4 linked regions of the Astyanax mexicanus genome follow. The protein of the gene in region 1 purifies or fractionates together with the protein of each later gene. This does not show direct contact. Links are inferred from orthologs where the notes say so. Each region holds a gene or a part of one and is shown on either strand. Other genes may lie near its edges. The genes, in order: larp7, ppm1g, nop56 and pop1.

Evidence for each region.
Region 2: the proteins of larp7 (region 1) and ppm1g purify together in Homo sapiens (affinity purification with mass spectrometry; 3 studies listed by BioGRID and IntAct, with this or other methods). This does not show direct contact. The link is inferred for Astyanax mexicanus from reciprocal best matches to the Homo sapiens genes LARP7 and PPM1G.
Region 3: the proteins of larp7 (region 1) and nop56 purify together in Homo sapiens (affinity purification with mass spectrometry; 3 studies listed by BioGRID and IntAct, with this or other methods). This does not show direct contact. The link is inferred for Astyanax mexicanus from reciprocal best matches to the Homo sapiens genes LARP7 and NOP56.
Region 4: the proteins of larp7 (region 1) and pop1 purify together in Homo sapiens (affinity purification with mass spectrometry; 3 studies listed by BioGRID and IntAct, with this or other methods). This does not show direct contact. The link is inferred for Astyanax mexicanus from reciprocal best matches to the Homo sapiens genes LARP7 and POP1.

What each region holds. Positions count from the first base shown.
Region 1 is NC_064415.1:28,221,273-28,228,307, reverse strand, and holds the start of larp7 (la-related protein 7), read left to right. Parts: upstream 1-4,031; 5' UTR 4,032-4,322; intron 4,323-5,657; 5' UTR 5,658-5,659; coding exon 5,660-5,867; intron 5,868-6,029; coding exon 6,030-6,130; intron 6,131-6,236; coding exon 6,237-6,320; intron 6,321-6,403; coding exon 6,404-6,568; intron 6,569-6,675; coding exon 6,676-6,781; intron 6,782-7,035. UniProt on the Homo sapiens protein: RNA-binding protein that specifically binds distinct small nuclear RNA (snRNAs) and regulates their processing and function.
Region 2 is NC_064414.1:18,138,129-18,145,375, forward strand, and holds the start of ppm1g (protein phosphatase 1G), read left to right. Parts: upstream 1-4,234; 5' UTR 4,235-4,799; coding exon 4,800-4,910; intron 4,911-5,849; coding exon 5,850-5,919; intron 5,920-6,798; coding exon 6,799-6,884; intron 6,885-7,247.
Region 3 is NC_064424.1:42,801,220-42,808,157, forward strand, and holds the start of nop56 (nucleolar protein 56), read left to right. Parts: upstream 1-3,930; 5' UTR 3,931-4,028; coding exon 4,029-4,031; intron 4,032-6,083; coding exon 6,084-6,173; intron 6,174-6,283; coding exon 6,284-6,398; intron 6,399-6,600; coding exon 6,601-6,765; intron 6,766-6,938. Other genes in the region: zgc:64106 (retinol dehydrogenase 11), read left to right, coding at 234-413. UniProt on the Homo sapiens protein: Involved in the early to middle stages of 60S ribosomal subunit biogenesis. Required for the biogenesis of box C/D snoRNAs such U3, U8 and U14 snoRNAs. Part of the small subunit (SSU) processome, first precursor of the small eukaryotic ribosomal subunit.
Region 4 is NC_064408.1:108,227,359-108,235,292, reverse strand, and holds the start of pop1 (ribonucleases P/MRP protein subunit POP1), read right to left. Parts: upstream 3,014-7,934; 5' UTR 2,877-3,013; intron 1-2,876. UniProt on the Homo sapiens protein: Component of ribonuclease P, a ribonucleoprotein complex that generates mature tRNA molecules by cleaving their 5'-ends. Also a component of the MRP ribonuclease complex, which cleaves pre-rRNA sequences.

The sequences.
Region 1 (7,035 bases):
TTCAGATGTTTTTCCCAGAAGGTTTATATTAGAGCCTTTTCCACTAATGTTTTTAAACGCTTGAAACTTTAGATAACAGTAATTTCACCCTTGATCAGCATCAACTTTAATCCCAACACACCCTACAACTGAAGACTGGGGATATATAAGGCAAGTATTCTGCCTTTCATCATGATGGTGAGTGCTCCAAAAAACAATTTCGTCTCAAATCCTTGCCCATTTCGGTTTCCAGTCTGCAGCATTACCTTGCTTGATATTTAAGGCACTTCCGCATGCACTCTAAAAAGTGATTTTGTGGTTTAGTCAGGAGAAATAATATTAGCAAGTTGAGTGAATTTACCGGGCAGTACAACTCAATAAAATGAGTTCAGACAATTTCAACCTGAAAACTTAAAAATGCTTATTGAGCCAATGAAAACATTTGATTTCAACCAACTTTTAGTAAACCACACGTGTCAATGCTCTTTTCACAGTAGGGTTCATACAGCTTTCCTATAGGCTCCTGGCACCATATATTAGCATTTTGGGTGTGGCCTCTCCTTTATTTACTATCTTTGTGTTGTCTGTTGCCCAAAGGTACCTTATCCTAGTCATGCATTCTCAGTGTAATGTAAGTGTTGATTGCCAGGCCTCAGTGTTTGTAGGCTTTAAAAACGTATCACTCTTATTCTGTGGTCTAAATTGTCACAGTATGTTAGTTCTATAAAAATATGTTAAAAATGTTGGAAATACTTTCATATTTAAATAATTAAAGCCAACAATTCTTGAAAAAAACTGTTGAGCTAATTAAACTACTGTTGTGTGATCAAAACTTCAAAGTCAAAGCTAAATTTGTTAAATTGAGCCAATGAATATTTATTTTCTATATGTTTATAAAAATTGTTTAGTTTAGTAGTGTTTTTCTGTTGACATGTACAACAAACACTTCTGAGTTTGTTAATCTAACTTAAAATGTTTTAGCAACTAATTTTAACACATTTTTTAGTTGGCAAGTCTAGCATATATTTTTCGATTACCGTGAGTAAATATATTAAGTTCAGCCAACTTAAAATATTAGATAATGATAAAATAACTATGATGAATTCTATGTTAAAGTGATTCGATAATTTAAGTTAAGCAAACATTTAAGACTTGTTAGGTCAACTTAATTGTGTAAGTGCAGAGAACAAATGAGCCATAAAGTTGTACTAGCTTTAAAAAAAAAAGGAAATTTGTTGCTTACGGATTATAAATTAAAGTGTTCAAATTTTTTACAGTGTACATGAGATATCCTTTTTCCAATTTCCATTAAACCATTAAACAGGTACTTTACACTTTTGATTAGCCAATGAAAGTAATTACAGTTAATCTCTGTTGTACAATTTGCTGAGTCTCATTGGTTCTATGGCCTTACATGTACTAGCTTGAAAATGCAAATCTAAAACTGCAGGTCTAGAAATGTGGTTGGCTCTGTGGCTGTGCAAACGGATGACGTAGCTTTAAACCAGTAGAGAAACAGATAGTCTACCATCCTTTAAACAAGAAAATCAGATATAATCAACAATCCTTTACACAAAAAAATCAGATATAGTCTACCATCCTTTAAACCAGTGAAACAGATATAGTCTACCATCCTTTAAACCAGAAAAACAGATATAGTCTACCATCCTTTAAACCAGATAAGCAGATATAGTCTACCATCCTTTAAACCAGAGAAGCAGATATAGTCTACAGTCCTTTAAACCAGAGAAACAGATACAGTCTACCATCCTTTAAACCAGAGAAACAGATAGAGTCTACCGTCCTTTCAACCATAAAAACAGATAGAATCTACCATCCTTTAAACCAGCATAACAGATATTGTCTACCGCCCTTTAAACCAGAGAAACAGATAGAGTCTACCGTCCTTTAAACCGGAGAGACAGATATGGTCTACCATCCTTTAAACCAGAGAGACAGATATAATCTACCATCCTTTAAACCAGAGAAACAGGTAGAATCTACCATCCTTTAAACCAGAGAAACAGGTAGAATCTACCATCCTTTAAACCAGAGAGACAGATATGGTCTACTATCCTTTAAACCAGAGAAACAAATATAATCTACCACACTTTAAACCAGAGAAACAGGTAGAGTCTAACATCCTTTAAACCAGAGAAACAGATATAATCTACCATCCTTTAAACCAGAAAAACAGAAAGAGTCCACCATCCTTTAAACCAGAGAAACAGATACAGTCTACCATCCTTTAAACCAGCAAAACCGTTATAGTATACCATCCTTTAAACTAGAGAAACAGATATAATCTACCATCCTTTAAACCAGAGAAACAGATATAATCTACCATCATTTAAACCAGAGAAACAGATATAGTCTACCATCCTTCAAACCAGAGAAACAGATGTAGTCTACCTTCCTTTAAACCAAAGAAACAGATACAATATACCATCCTTTAAACCAGAGAAACAGATACAGTCTATCATCCTTTAAACCAGAGAAACAGCTGTAGTCTACCATCCTTTAAACCAGAGAAACAGATACAGTCTACCGTCCTTTAAACCAGAGAAACAGATAGAGTCTACCATCCTTTAAACCAGAAAAACAGATAGAGCTCCCATCCTTTAAAATGTAGAAACACATATAAAGTCTACCATTTCCTTAAACCATTAGAAAAACATAAACAAGAGGAACAAATAGAGTCTAGATGCTAGTTTTCCTATCCTGTAAAACAGTAAAAAAATACAGTCTGTTGCTTCAAACAAGTAGAAAACATAAAGAGCCTACCAACCTTTAAACCAGTAAATCCAGAAAGACTACCGTCCTTTAAATCAGTAGAAAAATCGAGTCTACCATAATTTAATCCAGTAGAAAAACATATAGAGCCTACCTTCTTTAAATCAGTGGAAAAACATATGGAGTCTACGATCCAGTGAAACAGTTGAAAAACAGATGTTTTATAGTGACAGGTCTTTCCCAGGTAGTTTTCTATTTGCTTTGAGCGGTTTCCATACATTTCTGTACATTTGAAGCTTTAGCTAACAGTAACTTTACTAGAGTTTAGTATCAACTATAGTCAACACATATCTAGCAATAGGGAGGATTGCAAGACTGGTGTTTTTTTACTATTCTATTAGTTTTTCAAAAAGTAGTCGTAATTTGCATAATAAAAGAAAAAACTCGGGAGAGTGCTATATTGATTAATTAATTTATTTGAGCTGTTTCTGATACTGATTAACACAAACAAATATGTCAAATATTAGCGTGAGGGCTGGATCACGTTGGTGTTCAGAGCTGACCAATCAAATCAGGTCATAGCTTTTCTCCAGGGTAATAAAAGTGATTGACACCTATTTCAACCAATAATAATAATAAAAAAAACTTTGAACTTCAGAGCGCACACAGCGCGCACACGTGTGGATTTGTGTGTCATTTAATTTAATTTAAAAATTATTAATATTAATATTACTCTGAAATGGACTAACATTATTTTGTCACAAACAAACAAAAAAATATTAAACTCTTGTTGTTTAATGACAGATTTACTTCCTTGGCACTTCCTTGGAGAGGTTTTGAACACTTTGGAGACGCCTGGTGGACACCTAATATAATGCAACGTAGCTTGTAAATGCTTTCTTGTAAATTTCTCAAATTTTGTAATTTGTTTTCAAGACACTAGTGAATCAGGAAATATATATATATATATATATATATATATATATATATATATATATATATATATATATATATATATATATATATATATATATATATATTTATATATATATATAAATATAAGATATATATACGTAGGTAAAGAAAACCTTAAAGAACAGGATGACAGAATTTAAGAAGTTAGATTTGTGTAGATACTATACTATTTCCCAAAAAGGGAAAAAATATTCAAAATATGATTAACAGTAGATATATTACAGTTTAAACCAAAGAATAACATTCTTACATGTTATATTCAACCTAATCAGTATAAAAAAAATTAAGGTGAAGGCGTGGTAAAAGCGTGGCGGGGTGGGAACCTCTTTACTGGGTCATCAGTGTGCGCCCGGAGTCCTGCACGCTTAGCCTCGCTAGCCTAGCCGAAGCTAACTTACCACACCGGAGTTTAGGGTTTGTTTTTGTTCCTCCTGCAGCTGATTCTGATCATTAAAACACCCGAGGAGACGCAGAAACACAGCAGATAACCCCGTGTACCGGCGGGTCTGTTTTAGAACGGATTTATTGTGTATGTGATCGCTGAGGAGCAGTTAGACTGAACACCCGGTCTGCAGAGAGCAGTGAAGAGTGGGATGGTGCTGCTTTGAGTTTGGCGCTTTCGGCTCGACCATCAGGTGAGATACAGCTGCTCTACCTGCTGCAGCTCCTGCCCTGTGCTTTTACTGTCTTTTCACTGTTTTACCCAACCTACTGTTAGTGATTAACACACAGAGTTCAGGAGAGCGAACTGATGAACATGATTAACGTGTTAGAGCAGAGAAAATACTAGTACAGTACCCTGATCCTGTACTACTACACTCATATTCCAATAGAGAATCTTCATTGCTCAGCGTTGTCTATATACAGCTCTAAAAAAAAAAGAGATCACTTTAGTTTCTGAATCAGTTTCTCTGATTTTGCTATTTATAGGTATATGTTTGAATAAAATGAACATTGTTGTTTTATTCTATAAACTACGGATAACATTTCTACCAAACTCCAAATAAAAATATTGTTAGAGCATTTATTTGCAGAAAATGAAAAATAGATAAAATAACAAAAAACAAAATAAAAAGACATCAAATAATGCAAAGAAAACAAGTTCATATTCATAAAGTTTTAAGAGTTCAGAAATCAATATTTGGTGGAATAACCCTGTTTTTAATCACAGTTTTCATGCATATTGGCATTTTTTCCTCCACCAGTCTTACACACTGCTTTTGGATAACTTTATGCCACTCTTGATGCAAATATTCAAGCAGTTTAGTTTGATGGCTTGTGGTCATCCATCTTCCTCTTGATTATATTCCAGAGTATTTTTTTGTGTCATTACAGGTTGTAGGTCTGATATTATTTTCATTCAATTGATGATCTCTTTTTTTTAATATTTAGGTATCAATATTGTCATTTTAGTCTGACAATGAATGTCTGTACAGAAATCGACTATACGTCCAGGAGTGTCCAGTTATGTCCAGTCACCCTTCCTTGTGTGTTGAGTCACACACCAAGAAAAGCATTTCCAGTCTAATGGGGCACAATCACATAATGAGCTTAAAGTCTCTTTGGCAAGTTTGTCCAGAGTTAAGTGACTGGGTCTAAAACAGAGCTTGGTTATGCTTATGATTCACAGTGCTTCTGGCAAAACTATGTTTACATTTTTTGAATGCTTTATTGAATTCTCTTTCCGGGGAATTGGTTATTCATACACAAGAAAATTCTCTTGTGGATACCCCTTTTTTTACACACATACAGCTTGTTCAATCCAAATAGAAAAGCAATTAATGAAATGTGCTGTGTACCACATAAATATAAGTTAATGGTTTTAAACATGACCTTAGTTAAGTTCTCTGGAGTGATGGAGTTCTGTTTAAAAATAACAAATAACAGTCGTCATCATCATCATCATTTTATTCACACATATATGTTTTTCACACATAAATTTGTTTTTGCATTATTGCTGTAAATTCCAGGTATGACAGACAGCGAGAACATGTCGACTGGAGGAGACCTGAAGGCCAAGGAGCTCAGTGAAAAGAAGCAGGATAATGAGAAAAAGAAGAGGTCTCGGGTGAAACAGCTGTTGGCAGATGTGAAGAAACAAGTGGAATTCTGGTTTGATGATGTGAACCTTCACAAGGACAAATTTTTACAGAACGTCATTAGTAAATCAAGAGATGGTTGTAAGTTGAGATTACCTCAAGTTTTAGAATGACTGTCATTGTTGTCTTTGATTGATGAGTGTCTAAAGCGGCATTAATAAAAAGAATGTATTAAATCTATTGTCAAATCCATGTAGTTGTTTTAAACATAAACTCATTGCACGTTTTGGTCTTGTTTTGCAGATGTTGACATATCTCTTCTAACAACCTTCAATAAAATGAAAAAGTTGACCACAGATGTTAAACTAATAGCGAGAGCTCTCACAAATTCCTCTGTGGTAGAGGTAAGAATTGCCTGTATGTTAAAAAAAATATATAATGATTGTGATAGTAATGATAGTAATAATGATTGTGCCTTCACTTGATATTCTTGGATTTATTATTTGTCAGGTTAATCTCAAAGGAACTCAAATAAGACGTAAAAATCAACTGGGGGACAAACCTCAAGATATCGACAGCCGCACAGTATATGTGGTAAACATCATTTTTATTATTGGCTAATTTTTTATCTGTAAATGTTTATCTGTCAGTTGATCATAACTTATGTGTCTGTTTAGGAACTCCTGCCAAAAGATGTGACCCATGTTTGGATAGAACGAGTGTTTAGCAAGTGTGGGAATGTAGTGTACATCAGTATACCCAGGTACAAGATTTCAGAGTCCCCCAAGGGCTTTGCTTTTGTGGAGTTTGAGACAGATGCTCAAGCACAAAAAGCCATAGAGGTAGGTATTGGATTCTACTTCACATGATAAATTATTGGGTTACATTTTTGTGTTTTAGAAGCTAACTTTACAATTCAATAATTTACGCAATATCTTCTATTTCATAGATGTTGAACAACCCTCCAGAGGATGCTCCAAGGAAGGCAGGCATTTTCCCAAAGTCTTTAACAGATAATCCTGTCCCTTTGTGTACAGCACAGGATAGCACACAAGGTACCCTTCCATATGAAACACAAATTGTTTGGCAACACATGTACATTTGCCTTAGATCTGTTAAATACACAATATTCACTGAAGTCATGTCGTATTGTTTCCCAGGATGCATTAATAGGCATTCTGAGGTTTTAAATTATGATATATCACTTTGTACACATTTTAACAACAAAGCTTGCACAAGATTGTACTCTGTTCAGTGCCATTTCTTTTAATAAATCACACACAGAGGGTAATATTGTGATATAATATTA
Region 2 (7,247 bases), on another chromosome or scaffold:
TCACTGTGTTTTTCCTATTGGGCTCATTAGCGCATGCGCATGGAACTGCAGCCACCTACAATCTGATCATCGCTCTCGGCCAGAGTGAGAGTATACATGCACTTCAAGCTGGGGCCAATGCCCCGTGGCCCCGCCCCTAGAACCGCCAGCATTCCATGAGGGTGTTTTCAATGAAACTACTGCTGGGAACACAGTAAATGAAGCCCTAACTACAAAGTTAGTAACTAGAGATGTCCAGCAGCGCCGCTAATCGGCCGATACGAGTCATTACAGTCCGTTCAGTAACATCACTAAACTACGACCATTCGCTTTATCATAAAATCACCCCATTGATACAAACTATACCCCAGAGTTTACAGCACAAATTCTATACGTTTTATCATAAAATTACCCCATTGATACAAGCTATTCCCCAGGGTTTACAGCACAAATTCTATCTGCTTTATCATAAAACTACCTCATTGATACAAGCTATTCCCCAGGGTTTACAGCAATAATTCTATCCCCTTAATCATAAAGTCACCCCACTGATACAAGCTATACCCCAGTGTTTACAGCACAAACTCTATCCGCTTTATCATAAAGTCACCCCACTGATACAAGCTATACCCCAGTGTTTACAGCACAAACTCTATCTGATTTATCATAAAATCCCCCCACTGATACAAGTTCTACCCCAGAGTTTACAGCACAAACTCTATCCGCTTTATCATAAAATCACCCCATTGATACAAGCTATTCCCCAGGGTTTACAGCACACATTTAGTCAGTCTAACTCAATAAAATAAAAATCAATTTACATATTCACCTTTAAATATTAAGACAGTCTAACTCAATTAAAACAAGCTCAATTTACAAAGTCACCTTTAAATATTAAATCAGTCTAACTCAATCAAAACAAGTTCAATTTACATATTCACCTTAATGAATTAAAAATGTAACAGACTTGTGCAAAAATATTTAGGAATTGAAAACAAAAACTCAGTTTCACAGTCCCATCTACAGATTCAGATTAAATGCAAAGTGAACAAAACATACAACAGTCTACTAAATATTTAAAAGCAGTTCACAAAAAAGTCTTAAATCATTTCGAATGAACTTTTTTTTTAACAAGTTTGCAAAAAAAAAATACATTATACTTTTTGTTATTGATTCCCTTAAGAAAGTGACAAAAACATGAAAAGAAATAACCATGTGTTCTGCCCTGGTCCAAGCTAAACCGACACAGGTCCACTTATTGGGGTGGCATTATAGCATGCTAACGCGGTGTTAGCATAACAGCATGCTAACACAGAGACTCTGGCCCGCTCACGGGGTCGCTAATGCGGCGTTAGCATAACAGGGTGTAAGCCCGGTCTGTGAGCGCCCAGTGCCGGACCGTGCCTGGCCACCAGATATTGATCCCTCGCATAAATGATATCCTTCCGTTCAGCTCAGCTGTACTATTAACGAAATAATACAGTGGCATTCATAAAGCAAACAAAAAATGACAGCACAACTGCATTACTATATACATTATATATATACATTACAGTATAAATTAAATAATTTATTTTTTTATATGTACATACATATAAAAGTAATGCTCTTTATAGGTATATATTTGAGCAAAATGAAGAGTATGTGTGTGTACATATAAAAATTAAATTAGTTCATTTATACAGTTATTATATGCCATACCGTACGTCTGTCTTTGTTAAAGAGCATAAAACAAAGTATGTCAGCATGAAAGCACATATTTGTAATGTGTGACAGCGTCCTGTATCTCCTGTAACTAAAAATCCTGTGAAAGGTCTTATTATTATAGGTGTACTAAACACCTTCCTCAGTGTAAATTAATGCACTGGGGGGCGCATGTTGCCTCCTCCAATATGGCGGCCATGCTGACACGCCAGCTCAACAGCAGCTAAACAGCGCCCTCTAGCGGCTGGGAGCATTTCCAGTGTGGCAAACGTAATTAAGTAATTTCGTTTTTCTTAACGCAGCGTTTCTGAAATGCTGCGTTTTCTTTATGTAGTTGCGTTTTCTTTATTTATTTATTTTTAAGAGTGGAGCAAATGTAAGTATACAAATATAGAACAGAATTGGCATGCCAAAACATAGTAGTACTACTACTACTAATAATAATAATAACCACATATCCTATGTTATTTTAAATATTAGGTGATAACTGGTCAGTTTTTGTTATATATGTATATACGCACGCATAATTTTTTCTAACAACAGTAATGTGGAGTAACGTTTAGGTTGTAAAGTGGCCTTTACTTTGATGTAATTAATAATAAAGAGAAGTACAGATTTGTGATTAAAAGTAATTACATACATGTTGTTAACTATAGGGTGGGCTTTGTTTTATATTAGCAAATGTGTCCCCCTAATGTCAAACCCACTCCTACGCCCTTGTGTATTGATGTACTGTATTATTTTCTATAACCAAGACAAAACCATAGGTTTAGATATGTTGAGATGGATGGCCACGATAGTTAAAGACATTTACACAATACACATTTTTTTTCATTATAACCAGCATGTAATAAAATGTACAGTTGGGTTAGAGTTCTTTAAGCGTTTATGATCTCAATATGTGTAAAAATAATAGTGTCTGTATGATAGAAAATTTATTAAAATATGATAAAATATTGCCATGTTGCCAAGCTCTGTTTTGAGATCAATTTAATCTAAAATTTATTCTGACTGCTGCCTCTATATTTTCACTATTTCATCCACCACAAACATTTATATTGAAATTACGAAACTTCTTTAGAGATTTTAATGTAATTGCAACATTACTTTACGATTTTACGAAAAAAAAAACATTTAAAATATTTTAAATCATTGTAAAAAAAAAATGAAAATGAGATCTAATTTTTCTCTTAATAAAGTTTAAAGTCCTGTAATGCAACACTTTTAATCTCCTTGTATTTTTTATACTCCCCGTTTTATGTTTTGTATTTTATGAGAAAATGATTATTACTATTATTATTATTATTATTATTATTATTAATAAAACAGTCTAATGCAATTGTGAGATTAAAGTGTATGAAAACATTTTGCTTAGTTGTTATGTATTGTTTGGGTTAAATAAATGTTTTATTTATAAATTTACGTTTACTAAAAATATTTCCAAAAATAACAGAACTGTTAAAACAATGGATACATGCACGGTATATTATATTTTACATATTTTTGTAAATTATACATTCCACAGGAATATTTTTTCTTTTTTTCGTTTTTATTAATATGCCTTGACATCTGTAGGATTGTGAAATGTTATATCGTTGTTTAACTATAGTATCTGATTATCAATGTTTTAAAAATTCACTGTTTGAATGTTTGGTCTATCGACTGCCGTTTTGCTCAAAGGCGCAACTTCAGTCTCCATCAGCTCGACTCTACCAATTATGCGGGCCTTTCGGTTCAACCAAAAAAACAACTGAGAGGAGAATAGCCACTTAAGAATCTATTCTGTGTGTGTGTGTCCCTTTATCCTAATATAGAAAGATTTATCTGGATACTTTTTTATGCTGAGAAGCCGGAATGAAAACAAGCTGAAAGGAAATAAGAGTAACGAGGCTAACATTTTTTTAAATGTAAGAATTAGAAATGATCAAATCAAACCAAACTTATTTGTATAGCACTTTGAACAACTGATCAGCTTTAAATAAATGTGATCGTGGGACAGAGAATCAGGCAAAACATACAATACAGAAACCCCACTGAGGGACAGAGGCAAGAAAAAACTCCCTCAGAGCTGGAGGAGGAAGAAACCTGGGGAGGACCAGTACTCACATATGGTGGAGGGGAGAAACAGTTTTTAAATGAATGTTTTATAATGAAAGTTATTATACATACAGATCTAATATTTTCAGGTGTATAGCAACACCAAGTAAAAAGTCGTCTGAGATAACCAAAAGTTCTACTTAAGTAAGGTAGCTAATGAAGTATCCGTACTTTGTTAGTTGACACCTCTTGCACTTTCCTCAAAAAAAAATCTGACTTACAGGGCATTCATTAATACTAAAGACCACTGCATAATTATTAAAAAAAACGATAAAATGCGACCTTTAATAAAGGAATATAACGGACAAGCAGTTAGATACTATTTTAATTTGAGTTTAGCCGTTTAGCTCTATTCACTCCCATTAATTTGGGTCTCCCTCGCGGGTTCCCTCTAGCGGTGGGCTGTAATTCTCTGATATAACGGTGAGAGGGGAAGGAGAAAGTGGGCAGGCTCTCCGAAAACCGGCTCTGGTTCCACTTCCTTTAGAGAACACCAGTCTGTGAAATGGGTCCGACAGGCTGCTGCCGCCGCTGATTATGCCCCTCACACGTGTTACATTTTTCCTGTGTGTTTTTTGAGCCTCCTGAACCCCGCCGCCGGTGTGTTTTTGTGTAGTTAGGTTCTCGGTTGTGAGAGCGACTCTGTGATTGGCTCAAACTCCAGCAGCAGCAGCATCTAATCTAGCTACGTTATAGTCCTGCGTTGGCTAACGCTAGTTAACCTAGCAGTGATTATAGAGGCGCTAGCTAGCCGGGGAAAAGTACCGGGTGAACAGCAGTAGCAGCGCCAGCAGCTCTCGAACTGACCGCCTGCTCCTCGCTCTCTTCTGCCCGGGCCTCTGAAATGCTGGAGAGCCCATCTGAGCTCCACCAGACACGCCGCTTCTGAGCTCTGCTTCGTCTGTGAGTTAGCTGAAGCTAGCTTAAATAAAACAGCTCGGTTTGTTTTGTAGCTTAACCAGCTGCGTGCTGTTCTTCTCGAGCTCCCACAACAATAGCTTAGCTAGCTCGGCTGGATCATGGGGGCATACCTGTCTCAGCCCAACACGGAGAAAACCTCGGCCGACGGCGGGAACCACAAGCTCCAGTACGGCTTTGCAGCCATGCAGGGATGGCGCATTTCCATGGAGGTAACAAACCAACCTAACCTAATATAGCTAAGCTAAGCTATCTTATGGGAAGCCTGGAGCAGGCAGAATCAGTGGGGTTATGTTAGTTAATATTAGCTAAGCTCAGCTAGCCGTTCACTTCGATACAGCTAACTGCAGCTCATAAATTGAACTCAAATACACTTAATGGAGTTCGAAGTGAGGGCCGGTGTCCTATCGAGTTGTGCTACCCATCGATATGTGCTACTTTGCGGCTCTGCGCAGGCGCGAAAATATATATAATTTTTTTTACTGTTTTCATGTGTTTTTTCCTTAGAGGTGGGTAACCCAGGTCCAGAAAGTAAAAACCCAATCCAGGGTTTTGTACCAACTGCTTTGGTTTTTCCTGATAATTAACTTATTCTTCCGGATGCCTTGTACAATCTAGACTCAAAATCATCGTTTGTTTGAGTGTAACAACAGTGTAAAAAGTAACAAAAAATGCACATATAAATGTTTTTTTAATCGCCTATACTTTCTTAACTTTACCTTGATATAGCGATTTATGCTATTCAAATATCATACCGACAGTGCTGCTGCATGCAGCATGTTCTAATAGTTTGTATTTTTACAGTTAAACATACACTAAGGTAGCACAGTTTGACAAGGTAGCAGAACTCGACACAACACCGGCCTCATTCTCTTTCATTCTGCTGCTTCAGACAATGTAGCTAGTTTACCAGCCATGCAGCACTAGGTATTATAACCTAACTACCTAAGCTGTTTGAATGAGTTAGGTTAGTTAGCTTAGCTGCGATTCTCAGGGTCGTGTTTGAACAGTGTGATGTGTGCGCGGGTTTTCGCGCCAGTTTAACTTTCTGTCTGCTCGCCGCCACATGGCTGTCTGCATTGTTCTGTGGCCTTCCAGCTCTGCAGCCCTCCTCATCCACTCTGATAATTCCTCTATATCTACACTAACAGGATGCACACAACTGTATTCCCGAGCTGGATGACGAGACTGCTATGTTTGCTGTCTATGATGGACATGGAGGTGAGGAAACGTGGCTTGCGTTAATCACCAAGTACCTAGCTAACATAGTCGTTATCAGCCTCTGCTCTGATATGTAAAAGCGCATTAAATCAGTTAACACTACCCCTTTCTTGGAATTGAGATGAGCTTGTTTTCTCTTCTGTGCATTAGCTAACTAAATATTAAGTTTCTGTAGTGTAATGTCCTGTGGGGTGACGCACAAAGAAAGGGGCACCTTTTTTTTTTACACGTCACAGACCCTTTAAAAGAGATGTAAAGTTCCTTAATTTACTTTATTCCTCATTTTAACTCATAAAGTTCCTAAGTGACACATACTGAGCATCCTGAAAGCATCATCACAGGACATTGTGTGAATCTGTGTTCGTTATCTGACCTTATTTACAGACTGTAGGTGTGCAAGGTTAGTGCTTATTTTATTGAGCTTTTCCAACCATTTAACCAAACTGTTATGAAATTTGTTACATCAAAATATTTACCGGTAGTAATTTTCCTCCACTGCAACTATTCAACACACCAGGTTATAGGAGAAATCTGGTGTGAAATGGACTTGATTTAGTGCTAAACTTGATAACAGTATAATAGCCCACTTCTGTTCACCCCCAGCATTACAAAATACAGCACTGTTAGACAATTCTCCCAGCAGACCTACAATGCAAGTGATGGGTGCATAGTGTTGCCCATGTAAAAATCAATTTCGAAATAAATAAAATAAATCTCTTCTAAATTTCTACACCATTAACAAGCTCAAAGTAGCCCCACTCATGCTTGGTAGAATTCTGAGGACCTTGGCATTTAAAACATTAGAACAAATTCAACAGTTCATCAGTTGCAGTATGTGGGCCTGATAGTAAGACATATGCACTTTCTCTTTCCTTCCAGGTGAAGAAGTTGCTTTGTACTGCTCCAAATATTTACCCGACATCATAAAGGAGCAGAAGGCATACAAAGATGGCAAACTGCAAAAGGTAAGCACAGTAGTTTTTGTGCAAGCGTAGAAGATTACAGCTGTGCATTCATCAGTCTTCCTTTCAACCACAAAGTATATTTTGACCATTTCAAGGAGAGAATGTAAAGGCTTTGCACTGGTAAACCATAGCAAGTGTCAGGCCCTGAGTTAAGCAGTGTTAATTGTGTGTACACAGATGTTCTGTGTACTTTTAAAGCAGCTTTTGTGCATGTGTCCTCTGTTTGCGAGGCGCACACCTAACAGTGGTTGCTAGGATATTGCAGCTGGTTAAATGAAAGGACCTTAGCTGTCAATTATTTGGTATTTGATAAGTAGCATTTATGGATTTCACCAGAAATTTAGAGCAGCTAGCGTGTTGATG
Region 3 (6,938 bases), on another chromosome or scaffold:
AAAAAAAAGGCTGAGGCCAAAAACTGTGGGATCTGAAGCAACCAAAAACATTCTTGAGTAAATTACAAAGCATTTACAAAGCAGTTATGTTGTTTTACATAACAGTACATATTAGTTTTATGGTGCTGACAGCATCTAATTCTATAATTTATAGTACCAATACACACAAAACAACAAGCCTTGTAATATGTAATCCTCAGACGTTCCTAATGCTTTGTGTTCATGTATTTCAGTCTTCAGAGGAAGGCGCAGTCAGTACGATATACTGCGCTGTATCAGAAGACACTGAGGGGATCACAGGGAAGTATTTTGACAGCGACTGCTCCCTTGTCCTCCCAGCTCCACTGGCCAGAGACCCTGCTTTAGGAGCCAAGGCCTTCGAGCACTGCGAGAGACTGACTGCTAAGCTCTAAAGCACTGAGAGAACAGCAGATCTCCTGCCCTATCACAATACAGCATTACAGAACTGCTCTGAAAAGTTGGAATATCTAATGGCTTGTAAACACACTATTAAAAATACTATATAAAGCCAAATTCTTTTTTTCTCTATTTTTTTAAATACCAAAATAAGTTATGGGGTACATATAGTAAAAACGAAAAGAAGTTCATAAAGCAATGTATGTTAATTAAAGACATTTTAAAGGCATTTGCAGTTGTGATTCCAATTTCCATATTATTATACTCAGAAACCGGGTTGTTGGTGTCAGGGTGCAGCAAGGAATGGCGAGCAGAGCGGACGCAAATGCGAATATATTTATTTAACAATAAACAAAAGACAAAAATAAACATATAAACAACTGAAACTAAACTGAAAACAGGAAACACTGGAAACAGAGCCGCAACCATAACAGACTTAAAAATAAATAATACAAGGACCGACACAAGAGAAAGGGAACACGGACTATAAATAGTGGTGGACACACACGGGAAACAGGAAACACCTGGGACTAAGGGGCGGAGCTACAAAGGAACACAGGTGAGTGGAAAACTACTGAGACAGGAGACACCGAGGAGCACAGGTCACGTGGGGATATAACACAGACATGAGACAGGGCCAGAAAAAAAGGTAAATAAACACAGAAGCATGAGAACAGACAGGGACCATGTGACAGTTGGCACATGTGGCACTGACTGACTGCTGTATCATACCTGCCATGCAATTGTTGCCACATGCACGAACTGAGCATTTGGGACAGAATCGGGCCTATATTTAATCTGGGCCGATGCAACTTAGACTCTTTTCTGATTGGCTGCTCTGTTCTTTTTTCACAGTTTTTCTCAGTCGATTTGGTGCATTTTTCAGATCAGAATTGAAATTCTCAAAACAGTTCATTCAGTCTCCACATCTCTGTGTCACTTCATAAGTGCATTTCTCATTGTGTTTCACATTTTGCAAATGCGTGTCATGTTCAATTATCAGCTGTTGTTTTTGCATTATCCATTGCTTATGTCGTGCCCATCAAAATGTGATGAGCTGATTATCTGTTTAATTGTCTTACCCTCCAAAACGTTTAGGCTGTCGGTCACTGCCTGGGTCATTACATGCAAAAGTGCTGAACAGGTTGTCATAATCTCTTATGCATAATTTATACATTTCTATGAAACTTTTTTGGTACATTTTGGTAATTTATTCTAAATTGTCCTCAGGTGAATCTTGGAGAGAAGCATCATAATGCATAAAAAAGAAAGCACTATCATTCCTCAAGTTGTTGTCTTAGGTTGTTTTGAATGTTTAGAGTAAGTTTCTAATTGACTTTAATTGTCTTTCCTAAATTTCTGTCAGTAAAAAGAATATTACTCAGAATTTTTTATTACAGTCCAGTTTCTTGCTGTCAGTCTCCCATATACAGTCATGATAAATTGTGTTTTGTGTAAGTTTGTATTTTGTGTGTAAAACATGCAGTTTTAGTTGATTTGATTTGAATCAAAATCTTGTTTCCAAGATCAAAGACCAGGGGTCTTGGTGTTTGTCTGTTGGTACCATGCAGTGCACTATGGAGTGAGCTATAAACACTGTGAGACCTTGAATACTTCAGACATCTGGTTTCCATCAGCAACAATGCGTACAATGTTTCTCTCCAGCAAGCAGCACTGGCACACTCTGCACTCAGTGTATCCTGATCACTCAGTACCTGAGTTACTGCTGCTCTGTGACACTTAAAAGATTTAAAAGTAACTTTTTTAACCTAGTTTTAGAAAGTTTTATGAATGTGTACAGTTGGGAACTAACTGTTCTGTTATCAAAAGTTGTTTGTCAAAATGTTATAACTTATGACATTTCACATGCAACTGCCTTCTACCCTACTGCAGTGATTTTAAAATTATTAATATAACTATGTTTATATATTAGATGGATTTTTACTTAACTTTACTTTACTTTTTAAACACAAAACAAAAAAAACACTTTTGTACAACTCTTTTTTTCTGTTTTGCAAGGTACAATTATTTCTAATATATACAAATAAATATTATAACAAACACAATTTAAGGTGTGAAAGATATTATACAAATTATTATCCAAACTAAAACATTATATTCAGGTTAAGCTCATTGATCTTCCTGGAAAAGTACAGTCACATATGACATCACAATGGGGTTCCCTTGCAATCGCCATTATGACATCACAATTGGGTTCTATCATTCTTCTGTTTATTAAGTTCTGTAACTAATTTAGATAAGCTATAAAACAGCTCTTTAAGCCACTCACTGAGCTGCAGCATAAAACCAAAATTCACTGGAACAAATGAAATGAGTCTATAAAGGAAGTCACAAGGGAAGCAGTTATGAATCACATTGCCACTGAAGGAGAGTCACCTTGGAAACTGAAAATACTTTAAACTTCTTTATAAGTAATTAGTGAAGAAGAAAGTGGTGGAGAGGAAGTAAAGGGGTAGAGAAACGGGTGGAGAAAGGAGCCATTTGGGCGCTCTAAGCACAAATGCTTTGTGTTGTGCCTCTCACCAAACCCCCCTACACACATGTAAAATGTAAATACTAGTCCAACAACTAAATCTAATAGTTGTTTCTTTTTGTGTTAAAGCAGTAGAGGCTATGATGATATATTCCCAGCAGAGGGCGCACCGGTGCAGTTTAACGCGGAACAACTGACAAAAATATATAATAAATATATATAATAAATATATAGAAATTAAATTTCATTAAATGATCTATATGTCAAAATGTGAAATATAAAAATATATATATAATTTAAAAAATAATAAAATAAAAACATATTTTAAATGTATATTAAATTAAATATAAATAATAACAATAATTATCAGGCATTTAATAAATAATTCATCATTATATTAATAAATAATGTGTGTAAAAATGGCTGAAAACATACGTCCAACAAAAAGAAAAAAAATAATCTATATATTTTTTGTACTCTGCCTAGACTCGAAAAAATGTAGTATTTTTTACATTTTGAAATAAAAATTAAATAAAAAGCTTTTGTTTGTTAAGTGCTGTTAAAAGCAATGCATGTATAAATTCAAGATATATAAAAATCATATGTGCAAACTAATAGTATTGTATTATTATATTTACGCTTGTTTATATTAATATTGTTTATCGGAATTACTGATATTATTATTATTTTTGTTGTGATTGTTATAAATGAGCAAAATGCTCATTTTTAATGTATATTTTTATTAATAAATACTACAATTTAAACATGAGGTAGGCCAAGTAGATTGGAAAATGAATATTGAATGGTTTTGATATAATATATATATTTCCTCACATGTAAATAATACACAGTACTCAGGGTTTATAATTTAAAAATTATCCTAATAAATGTTATTCTAGCTAAATATCCATGCAATTTAATGCTATAATATCAGAGGAAGTTCTAACTTTATTGTTTTTATAAGAGAAACACCGCGAGATCTGTTGTACCAGCACGGATCTGAAATCTCGCGAGAGTGGTAACATAAAGCTCCACATGGCCTCCCCTCGGCAGCACATGCAGCCTCTTCTTTCTGCAGCAGCTTCAGTAGAGGGAGGCACGCGGAAATCAGAGCAGGATGGTAGCTACCACTTTTAAACACTTTATTTACCTGGAAATACTATTTAATACTCGTTTATTAGCGCATTATTCTAAAAGTTAAAGCTTTAATTACGCTGGTTGTGATAATAACTTTTGGCATTTTCTGATAAATAAGCTTAAAATCGACTAGAATTTGGGGCATATTTGTGTAACTTAGCTGAATTTGTATGAGTTTGGCATTACCTTAAATTGTGAATTAGTGAATTATGCTTATTTTTAAACATTTTATGAAAATTATAAAGTGAGCTTGGGGTCTAATTTAAGCCAGAATGTCTAAAAATAGCTGTTGAAATGTTTGTTAGCTAATAATCACGTTGCGTAGCTGCTGCTGCTGCTGTTAGGCCCTGGCCTAGTTTTCCTATGGCGTTTTTCCCTTTAACGCAGCGCAGCATAAAACATTCTTGCAATATACGTTATTTATTTTATTTAAAGCTATATTTTTCTTTTATTTTATATGAATCCGTTTTATTAAATGTATAATTTGAGTGGATATGGTCTGCAGGAGGAACACGTGGGGCACTCGCCTTCAACATGTGTTCAAAACCAGTTAGCGTTAGCTAGGTTAAGCTACATAGCTAGCGTTAGCGTTTGGAAGAAACTGAACATTTTATTTGGTTATAGCCAAGTTTCTCCATTAAAAAGACTCCCATGTGAGCTTTATCTGCTCTAATGTATCCTCCGTGTTCATTAACGTTTATTAAATAAGTTATAAGTAATATTTTTACTGTTTCTAGAGGTCAGGGCTGCAGGAGCGGTTCACGCGCAAACCACGTGTCTGCATTTCTGCAGCGTTTTTGAGCGACTTCAGCTAAACTAAACTAGCTAACAGTTAGTTACAGGCATTTAAATAGATAAAGCTATGCTTTAGCCATCACTCTAAAAACATGTTAATATTACTGTAATCTTTTTCTTTTATTTTCTAGAATGTGTGTTAATATCTTAATATAACCGTAAAATTAAGTTTTGAGTCCTGTGAACCTAAACGCGGGCTAGCTAAATATTACTTCTATGTTTTAGGATTTTAATATTTAATTTTTTAAAGAAAAAAATAATGTTTAAGATCTTAAATAACCCTTTTTAAAATAAGCTATTGGTCCCTGTGAGCCTAAGTTTACTTTTTTAACATTTAATTTAAAATCTTTTTTTGAGCATAAGTTTTATGATAAATCTTTAAAAAAAATAAATAAATAAATTGGCCCCTGTGAGCTTAAACGTTGACTAGTTTAAGTGGAAGTACCTGAACTAAAAAATAATCTATATCATTATTTACCTTGAGAAATAACTTAGATTGTTAGTTTTGCTGTAGTTTAACTGCTTTTATTGTACGTTTAATAACATGGGACCCTATTAGTGTAACAAGGGCTCTGTGATATTAGCAAACATTTTAATCTCATATCCCTATAATTCTGCACAGTGTAAAAAAAAAAAAGTTTTTTATAAAATAACCGTGTTAAAAAGCCACGTGTATTACACTCAACAACTAATTATTGTTTTATTGCGAAATCTTTTACTCAACATTTTTTAAACACAGTAAAATTGTTAAAACGCGGCTTTAAATGAAGCCGGAAGATAATTCAGAGACCCCTAAATCGAAAGCCTCAAATACCAAATTTGGTACAAACCCGTTTTAAATCATTTTGCCTAATTAGGAGTTATTTTAATCTAGAGCTTACATACATCAATGTTTTATCATATTGTGTGTTATTGTATCAACAGTAAGCATATTCAGGATATCAGTATCAGTCAATCTTTTATTTTTTGCTTAGTCGATGACTGACACTACTGATGCATTTTTGGCTGCCTGTTAAAATGAAATTCTGTATATTTTAAATATTTAAAATTGATATCTTTAACGTTTCGCTTAGCTGACAAGTCTGTAGTTTTAAGTGTGTTCTTAAGGTACTAAAGTGGGAATAATTATAATAATAATAAAAAACAAATTTAGAATTCATACAATATGGTAGTGATGGGTAATTTCAGAGATTTTATAGCTGGACAAATTTTTTAAATTCACTTATTTATTCCCCTCCAGGTGCTCTTACACGTGCTGTTTGAGCATGCGTCAGGCTATGCCCTGTTCGCCGTCAAAGAAGTTGAAGAGATCGGCATGCTTTTACCTCAGGTGCGTTTTTATTTTATTAAATCTTCAGGACATTTTCTTAGTGTCTTTTTGTGCTGAGCTAATTTTATGTGCAGCATCTGATTAGATTTTTTTGCTCTTTTTGTATTCAGGTGGAGGAAAGTGTTTTGAATATTGGGAAATTCAACACTGTTGTAAAACTGGCAGCTTTTTTCCCCTTTAAATCTGCACAGGCTGCACTTGAGAACATAAATGCCATTTCAGAAGGTAAGTAAAACCAGGCTTTGAGCTCTGATAGTGTAGCTCAGATAGTGATGTGATTATAGTCTGTCAATCCACTGAATGATTGTGCTGACAACATAAAATACCTAACTGAATCTGAGTGAAAACTGAAACTACATGTTAATAAAACTTCTTAAAGACACAAGTGAATGATCAATAACTGATAAGTGGTTGAATCTCTTGTTAGGAGTCGTCCATGCAGACCTTAAACTGTTTTTGGAAACAAACCTGCCTTCTGGAGGCAAGAAGAAGGCTATGCTTGGTGTGGCCGATGGCAAGATTGGAGCAGCACTGCAAGAAGAGTTGGGCCTGTCCATTCAGACTGGAGGAGTGGTGGCAGAAATTATCAGAGGTTTGAGGAAGTTTTGATCTTTAGTAGTAGCTGGGTTTCCATTCAGCGGTCATATTATCTCCCCCCTATTTCTATTACTATTAGATGTCTCTAAAGTTATGTTTACACTAAAGAGAAAACTGGCTCATATCTAATTTTCTGACCAAATGCAAGATTTATTTTATGCTTTACGC
Region 4 (7,934 bases), on another chromosome or scaffold:
TTATACCCATTTTTTTTTTATTTTCGAATTTAGCTTGATACGGTAATCTGTCAAACCATGATACCCTAGTGTATAATTTAACCACAGAAAAAAGCACCATATTAGAGCATGTTCCCAGCAGAAGTCCCAGTAGATGTAGCGTTAGTATATTTGGATAGCATAAATCACTGTATCATGGTAAAGTTATGTCAATGAGAGGTCATTACAAACTGGTTTTGTATTAAATGTATTAAATAATAATTGTATTTATTAAGTTGGCTTGTCAAAGCCAACTTATAGTTCTTCTTATTCTTCTTATTATTATTATTCTTCTACGCTAAAATTTCTCAACGCTACTCCTCCTACAGTTTTCGAGCTAGAACCACCAAACTTCACAGGTTGGTAGAAACCATAGCCACTTAAGTTGCTTGTGCTTTTCTAAGCGATCGGAGAACCAGGGTTCTAGCACGGTTCCGTCAAAGTCACTTTTTTCCCCATAGACTTCCATTCACACTTTTTTCAAACTGCTGTAAAAGTCACAATTTTCAAGCTAGAACCACGAAATTCACAAGACATACAGAACTTGCAGAGACGTTTCAGACGATATGCTGATCTCACCGATACGATTTACGGTTTTCGTAAAAGTATCGTACGAACTTTCCCCATAGGAATGAATGGGCGGAATGTTGGCCATCTCACACACACCAGCCGATCCTGCGCACGGCCCCCCTCTCTGCCCTGCTCCTCAGTACTGTATCTGTATGGAGAAGAGACTGCTGAACACAACCCACACCAGAACCAATACCACACTACACACACCACACACACACACACCACACATACACCACACCACACACACTTCAAACCACACATACCCCACACCACACACACTCCACATCACACATACCACACACTTCACACCCCACACCACACACACTCCACACACTCACCACACGACACACAGTCCACTCCCCACACTCACTCCACACCACACATACTCCACACCACACAAACTCCACAGTCCACACCACACACACACCCCACACCACACACAGTCTACACCCCACACTACACACACTCCACACCACACCCTACACACATTCCACACCACACATACCACACACCAAACACACTCCACCCCACACACTCCACACCACACATACCCCACACCAAACACACTCCACACCAAACACACCCCACACCACACACAGTCTACACCCCACACTACACACACTCCACACCACACCCTACACACATTCCACACCACACATACCCCACACCAAACACACTCCACCCCACACACACTACACACCACACATACCCCACACCAAACACACTCCACACCAAACACACCCCACACCACACACAGTCTACACCCCACACTACACACACTCCACACCACACCCTACACACATTCCACACCACACATACCCCACACCAAACACACTCCACCCCACACACACTACACACCACACACACCCCACACCACACACAGTCTACACCCCACACTACACACACTCCACACCACACCCTACACACATTCCACACCACACATACCCCACACCAAACACACTCCACCCCACACACCACACATACCCCACACCACACACACTTCAAACCACACATACCCCACACCACACACAATCCACACCACACAAACCCCACACCACACACACTTTAAACCACACACACTCCACAGCTCACATACCCCACACCACACACACTCCACCCCACACATACCACACACAATTCACACAACACCACACATTCCACACCACACATACCCCACACCACACACACTTTAAACCACACACACACTCGATAGCTCATATACCCCACACCACACACACTTCACACCACACATACCCCACACCCCACACACTCCATACCACACACACACTCCACAGCTCACATACCTCACACCACGCACACTCCACCCCAAACATACCACACACTTCACACCCCACACCACACATACCCCACACTCTCCATACCACACACACACTCCACAGCTCACATACCCCACACCATACACACTCCACCCCCACACATACCACACACACTTCACACCCCACACCACACATACCCCACACTCTCCATACCACACACACACTCCACAGCTCACATACCCCACACCATACACACTCCACCCCACACACACCCCACACCACACACACTCCACACCTGACACAAACCCCACACTCCACCACACATACACCACACCACACACACTCCACACCACACATACTCCACACACCACACCACACTCTCTACACACCACACCACACACACTCCACACCTGATACACACAACTCACCCCACACTCCACCACACATACACCACACTCCACACCACATTCCAAACACACCACACCAAACACACTCCACAACCCACTCCACACCCCACACACTCCACACCACACACACACTACACAACTTAGTAACTATTTGACAAGCCAACTTAAAGTTCGTTCACGAACTTTGCCTTTTCTAGTTACTATTATTATTTTTCATTTAAACTTTTGTGCAATGACAGTGATTCGATGTTGTTTAACGCACACAAAAATAGAATTATTATAAACAAACACGAGAAATATTTAAAAAGTGTAGGTCAGCGCATGCGTAGTGCCTTTAGAAAGTACGTATTGATGGGCAGCATATATCGACTGAACAACAGTCAGAAATTAACTGCTAAACGTTACACCCATCGGGAAAGATCAGATCTAGCTGGAAAACAAACACACTTCTGACAGTATTTCTGCTGAAACAGCGAGATGAATTCGCTACTGCTGCAAAACCACGCCGCACTCAGACACTCTGATCACACCTGATTAAAATCATTAATATTAATGAATTAATTCACACGCTGTAATGAATAATCATGTAATCAATGCTCACTGTAGCGCCGGATCAAACGCAGAAGCGTAGAGAGCCTGAATAAGACGAGTTAACACTTTAGTCCTGAACTGAGCTCCACTGTGAGTTAACTGCTTCCCCACCATCAGCACGCCACTACCCACACACGTGTTCCAGCACTTCCGGGTACAAGGGGCTTATGGGAGTTGTAGTTCTGCGACAGAGGCTTGCTTTTTTAAAGAAGAAAAATAAAATAAAAACGACATAATATACATTTACTCATGGCATTTACTTACATTTATGATATACACCAAATAAAACTAGAAAAAAAACAACAGATAGATAAAACGTTTATTTTAAGTTTTTTTTCTCCTGTTTAAATGTATACATCATGTGCAATAAATTAACACATTTTTATTTATGATCAAATAAAAAAAAAAAAAAATATATATATATATATATATATATATATTCAATTGAATATGTGCTTAAAATTAGACAGTAAATTATCAGTAAAGATTATTATTCTAAAAACTACAATTAAGTACATGATAAACACAGAAATAAAATTCAAGAAAATGTTAAAATACAGTACCAGTCAAAAGTTTGGACACACCTCTTCTCATTCAATGTGTTTTATTCTTTTTAATGATGTTTTACATTGTACATTTAATATTAAAGACATTAACGCTATACAGGAACAGGCAGAATTATTAAGTTAAACAAACCAGAACACGTTTTATATTTTAGATTCTTCTAAGTAGCACATTTATCTTTGAGGACAGATCTGCACACTCTTGGTATTTTAATCTCAGTGTCTTCATGAAGTAGAGATACCTGGAATAGTTTTCTCAGTGTCTGGAAGGTGGAGTGTCCTGGAGGTGCTGAACACTGTGAAGCTCTAGATCATCTCAAATCACTCATCACAGTTGATCAGGTTTAGATCAGGGGATTGTGGACAAACACTTTTTATTGTTTAATACGTAATCCCATATGTGTCCCTTAATTGATTGTTTGAATCACATTTTATTTATGCTTTATTCTTCTTTTATTATTTCCATTTTTATTGTTATTCTCTTACACGTTTATGTGAGTCTTTTTGTATTTTCTAATTTATAAATCACTTTAAATGACCATTGTGTATGAAAAGTGCTATATAAATAAACTTGCTTTCATGTCTTTAATAGTAATTTACAATGTAGAAAATACATTAAATAAAGAAAAACGTTGCATCATAACATTTATCAGTTTAATTTTATGTTTCAGGATAAATTTAAACATAGAAAATTGTTTATAAAACTTGTTACAAAAATGTTTTTTTTCATTTACTTCAGTAAAGAAGAAATTGATCTGCTTTTGCAATCTTTAGTGTTCTATTTCTGACTTTCACTAACAGAACTGAAAAATTTACTCTCCTTTCAACTCTTTTTTTTAGATGTAGAACTTAATAATAAACTTACTATTGTTACAAGAAAAATCTAAAAAATTGACAGAAGATTTTTTTTATTTGTCCTAAAATTGTGAGGTGCAGAAATAAAGAAAATAGAAAATTGGAAAATTAGATTAAAAAAAAAACTATTTCTTCTATACTGCACCAAATTGTAAGAGTTACATAATAAAGGTGTTTAACCACCAATTTTCTATTTTCGAAATTAGCCTAAACTGAACTGATAAACATTACACTGACTGAGAAGCTGCGTCATAACTTTTGACTGGTACTGTACATTGTAAGTATGTGTGCATGTATCTTTATACAAACTATCGATGTTCCTACGATGTTAAAAATGAAATATGGCTGTATTTATACAGTATTAAATTAAAGTTAATGCTACTGCTGCTACAGAGTTGGTATAGTTGACAGTCAAAGGTGAGGTAGTTTACAGAAATGACAAATAATCTGCAATGAAATGCTGACAGTAAGAGATTACATACTATAAATGTTTTCTTTCCTTTTTTTTTCTTGTGCTGATAATTAATTGGCCCATCATCTATGTTGTTACATGTGTTGTATTCAGGAACCTTGCAGCTCTAAAAACTGAATAACACTCTGATAATAATCCAGCAAAATGATCTAACAGTCTTTTTGGGTGGAAAAACAGCCCTGCAGCTTTCAGAGGCAGTCTTGTCAACAGAATATCAAATATGCGCACCATCTGCTTTTTTTTTCTTTTTTTAGAATTCATGCCCTTCAGGAAGAGAAGAACAGGGACCACAGCCAATCTCTCATTCAAGTGCTTACGAAAAACTGCTGAGAATAAGAATTCCTAAGAAAAGATTCAACAGAAAAATACATATTTCAACATATTATATTATATTATTCTAATTCCGAACTACTGTAAACCAAGTCTCATTTCTTACTTTAGGCAAATGTGTGTATACTACTCTCTCACCTGCTCATCTGGTCCCAGATGCCATAAAGTTATAAAATCATCCTGCTTTGAGGCAACTCCCTTTGCTGGAACTTATCTTAAACAGACGAGTTTGAGCTGGTTTAAAGGAATCACTGCAGGGAGAAACATGCCTACATAAGCAGAACTAAACTGTCACTACAGATCATTCTGTCTGCATACACTCAATCCATGCTGTGAAGCATGAATAATGTGGGAAAGTGTGAAGACACACTCCTCACTAATGCTGCAGTTCTGATGTGTTCATAAACTCTGTGTAATGTCTGTGGACAACCCTGGTAATGAATGCATCATTTAGCTCCTTTATTTTGCATCCATTTCTGACACTGAATGATGACTGTAAATGCATATCGTCGCTGTCCAATGAAAAACAAGTATCTCCAAAACAGCAACTTTACAGGAGAGATATAAAACCTTTTTTAACTTTCAATGGATGTCAATGTTCAAATAATTTGGGAGGATTTCTATTGGCCCATAAATCAAGACATCCTGACAAAGTATAAGGGAAATGTGGGTAGTTGAAATAATTTAGTAAGCTAAAAATCAACAAAAATGGAGATACTTGTTTTATATTGGACAACAACGATAAAAAGAACTGGTATAATTAATGTACATATTTATTACCAATTAAATAGAAACTTCTTAAGCAGATAAACATGAACTAATCAGCACCATGCCTAATGCCAGGCATGGGCTAGAGTTGTATAATACCTTTTATAATACCCCACAGCATTGAGCTGTGTAGCAGTGGAACTATGATATCTAAAATGGTGGTAAATGTATACATCCTGTGCAATAAATCAACACAATTTTTATTTATCATCAAATTTAAAAAATATATATTTTCAATTGAATATGTGCTTAAAAATAGGACAATCAGTTAAGATCATTATTCTAAAAAAACACAATTAAGTACATGATAGTACGATTCAGTACGTTTGGGTTGAGTTGGAGAGTTGGGGATGAGTTAAGGTGCTAATTTAGATTCCTGGCCTGTCTAACACCTGTCTAAGTACAGTAGTAACAGTCAGGCCTTTTAAAACAACCCCTGTAAAAGAAAAGTGTATTTAAGTATTTTTTTTAAAGTGTACTTAACATGAAAAAGTACATATTTTTTTTATTAAAATATGTACTTAAATAAATATAAAATGTACTATTTTAGAACAAATTACGGCAACTTAAGTATATTTCAATTGCAATAAAGCTATATTTAAACACAACATAAAATCATTAAATTGTTGGGGTATTCATTCCACTTGAGACCACAATGTAAATAATACAAAAGTTAGAAGTAAACTGACAAAATCAATGAACTAAAACTGAAACAAAGTACATTGAAAAAAAAAGAAAAAAAAAAAGAATTACAAAATCAAAAAATAAAAATGCACTACTGACTGTGTACTACAAAAAAGGAAGGGTTTTAGTTTGATACAATATAAATCACCAAAATCTGAAATAGTGTACATGGAACAGAGCATTATTCTGTCTTCATTTGCTATCAGGTTGGTACAAATTAGTGCAGTCACTGGTTGTTTGTGCATATTATTTGAACTGTAATAAATGTGCATTAAACTTTATATTATTCTTCAATCCAGAACAAATTAATTTTTCTAGCATGGTGAAAGTTATTAACATTACACTAGCTGACATTTGGCCTGCCATTTTAAATGTGTAAAGCTCATAATTCTGACTTTGCACCTGGGAAGTTGGACCTTTTAACTGGATTATATATAAAGGCAGCATTATCTCCCATCAGATCTGTGTTCATCTTGGCCATGTGATTGTATTAATAAGGAGACCCCACAGTGGTGCAAACAAAAATAAAAAAAACAGAAATTTCTTCATTAGTAAAAGTAACTTTATTGGTTCTGTACACTAAAAAATGTGAAAAAAGAAGAATCCCATGCAACTACAATACAAGTTTGCAACATGGGTCCTGCTACAGATTATGAATTCATTAGATACATTTTCCCAATAAAACCGTTAATGTAATTCTCACAGAGTAAACGGTTAAGAATCCAGGAAAAACCCAATAATAGTGAACTCTGAGCACAGAGGGAAGGAAAGGACCAGTAACACAATTCACATTTTTACAGGAGAGGTTTGACTGGTGTGAGTTATAGGATGCAGTTTTTCAGTACTAGCTTCAGTAAGCTAGTGAACACACAAATAAGGGTAGCACACACTATACCCTACCAATAAAAATATTACATATGTCCGTCTGTTTAATTCATTCACTACTCCTTGTTCTATGCATTTGCCTTTAAAAATTCAGCTATAATGACTGTTAGATTCAATACAACAGTTTCAAACAGCTCAATCTATTTTAAAATGTTTATATGTACATATTATACATTATAATCATAGTTTTATGGCTACATCCTTGTTTTTTCCACTCTGTCATTTTTTTCAGCTGCACTGATCATATAGGAGCACTTTGTATTTCTAGAATTACAACCCAATCTACAGAACCCTAAAAGACCACCACAGATAAGGTATTATTTGGGAAGTGGATAATTATCCATCCTGCATTGACACTGACGTGGTGGTTGGTGTGTGGATCAGAGACAGCAGTGCTGCTGAGTTTTTAAACACTGTGTCCACCCACTGTCCTCCACTATATTAGAGATTCCTACATAGTGTCTACTTTGTAGGTGTAAAGTCAGAGACAGAAGCTCATCTGTTGTTGCAG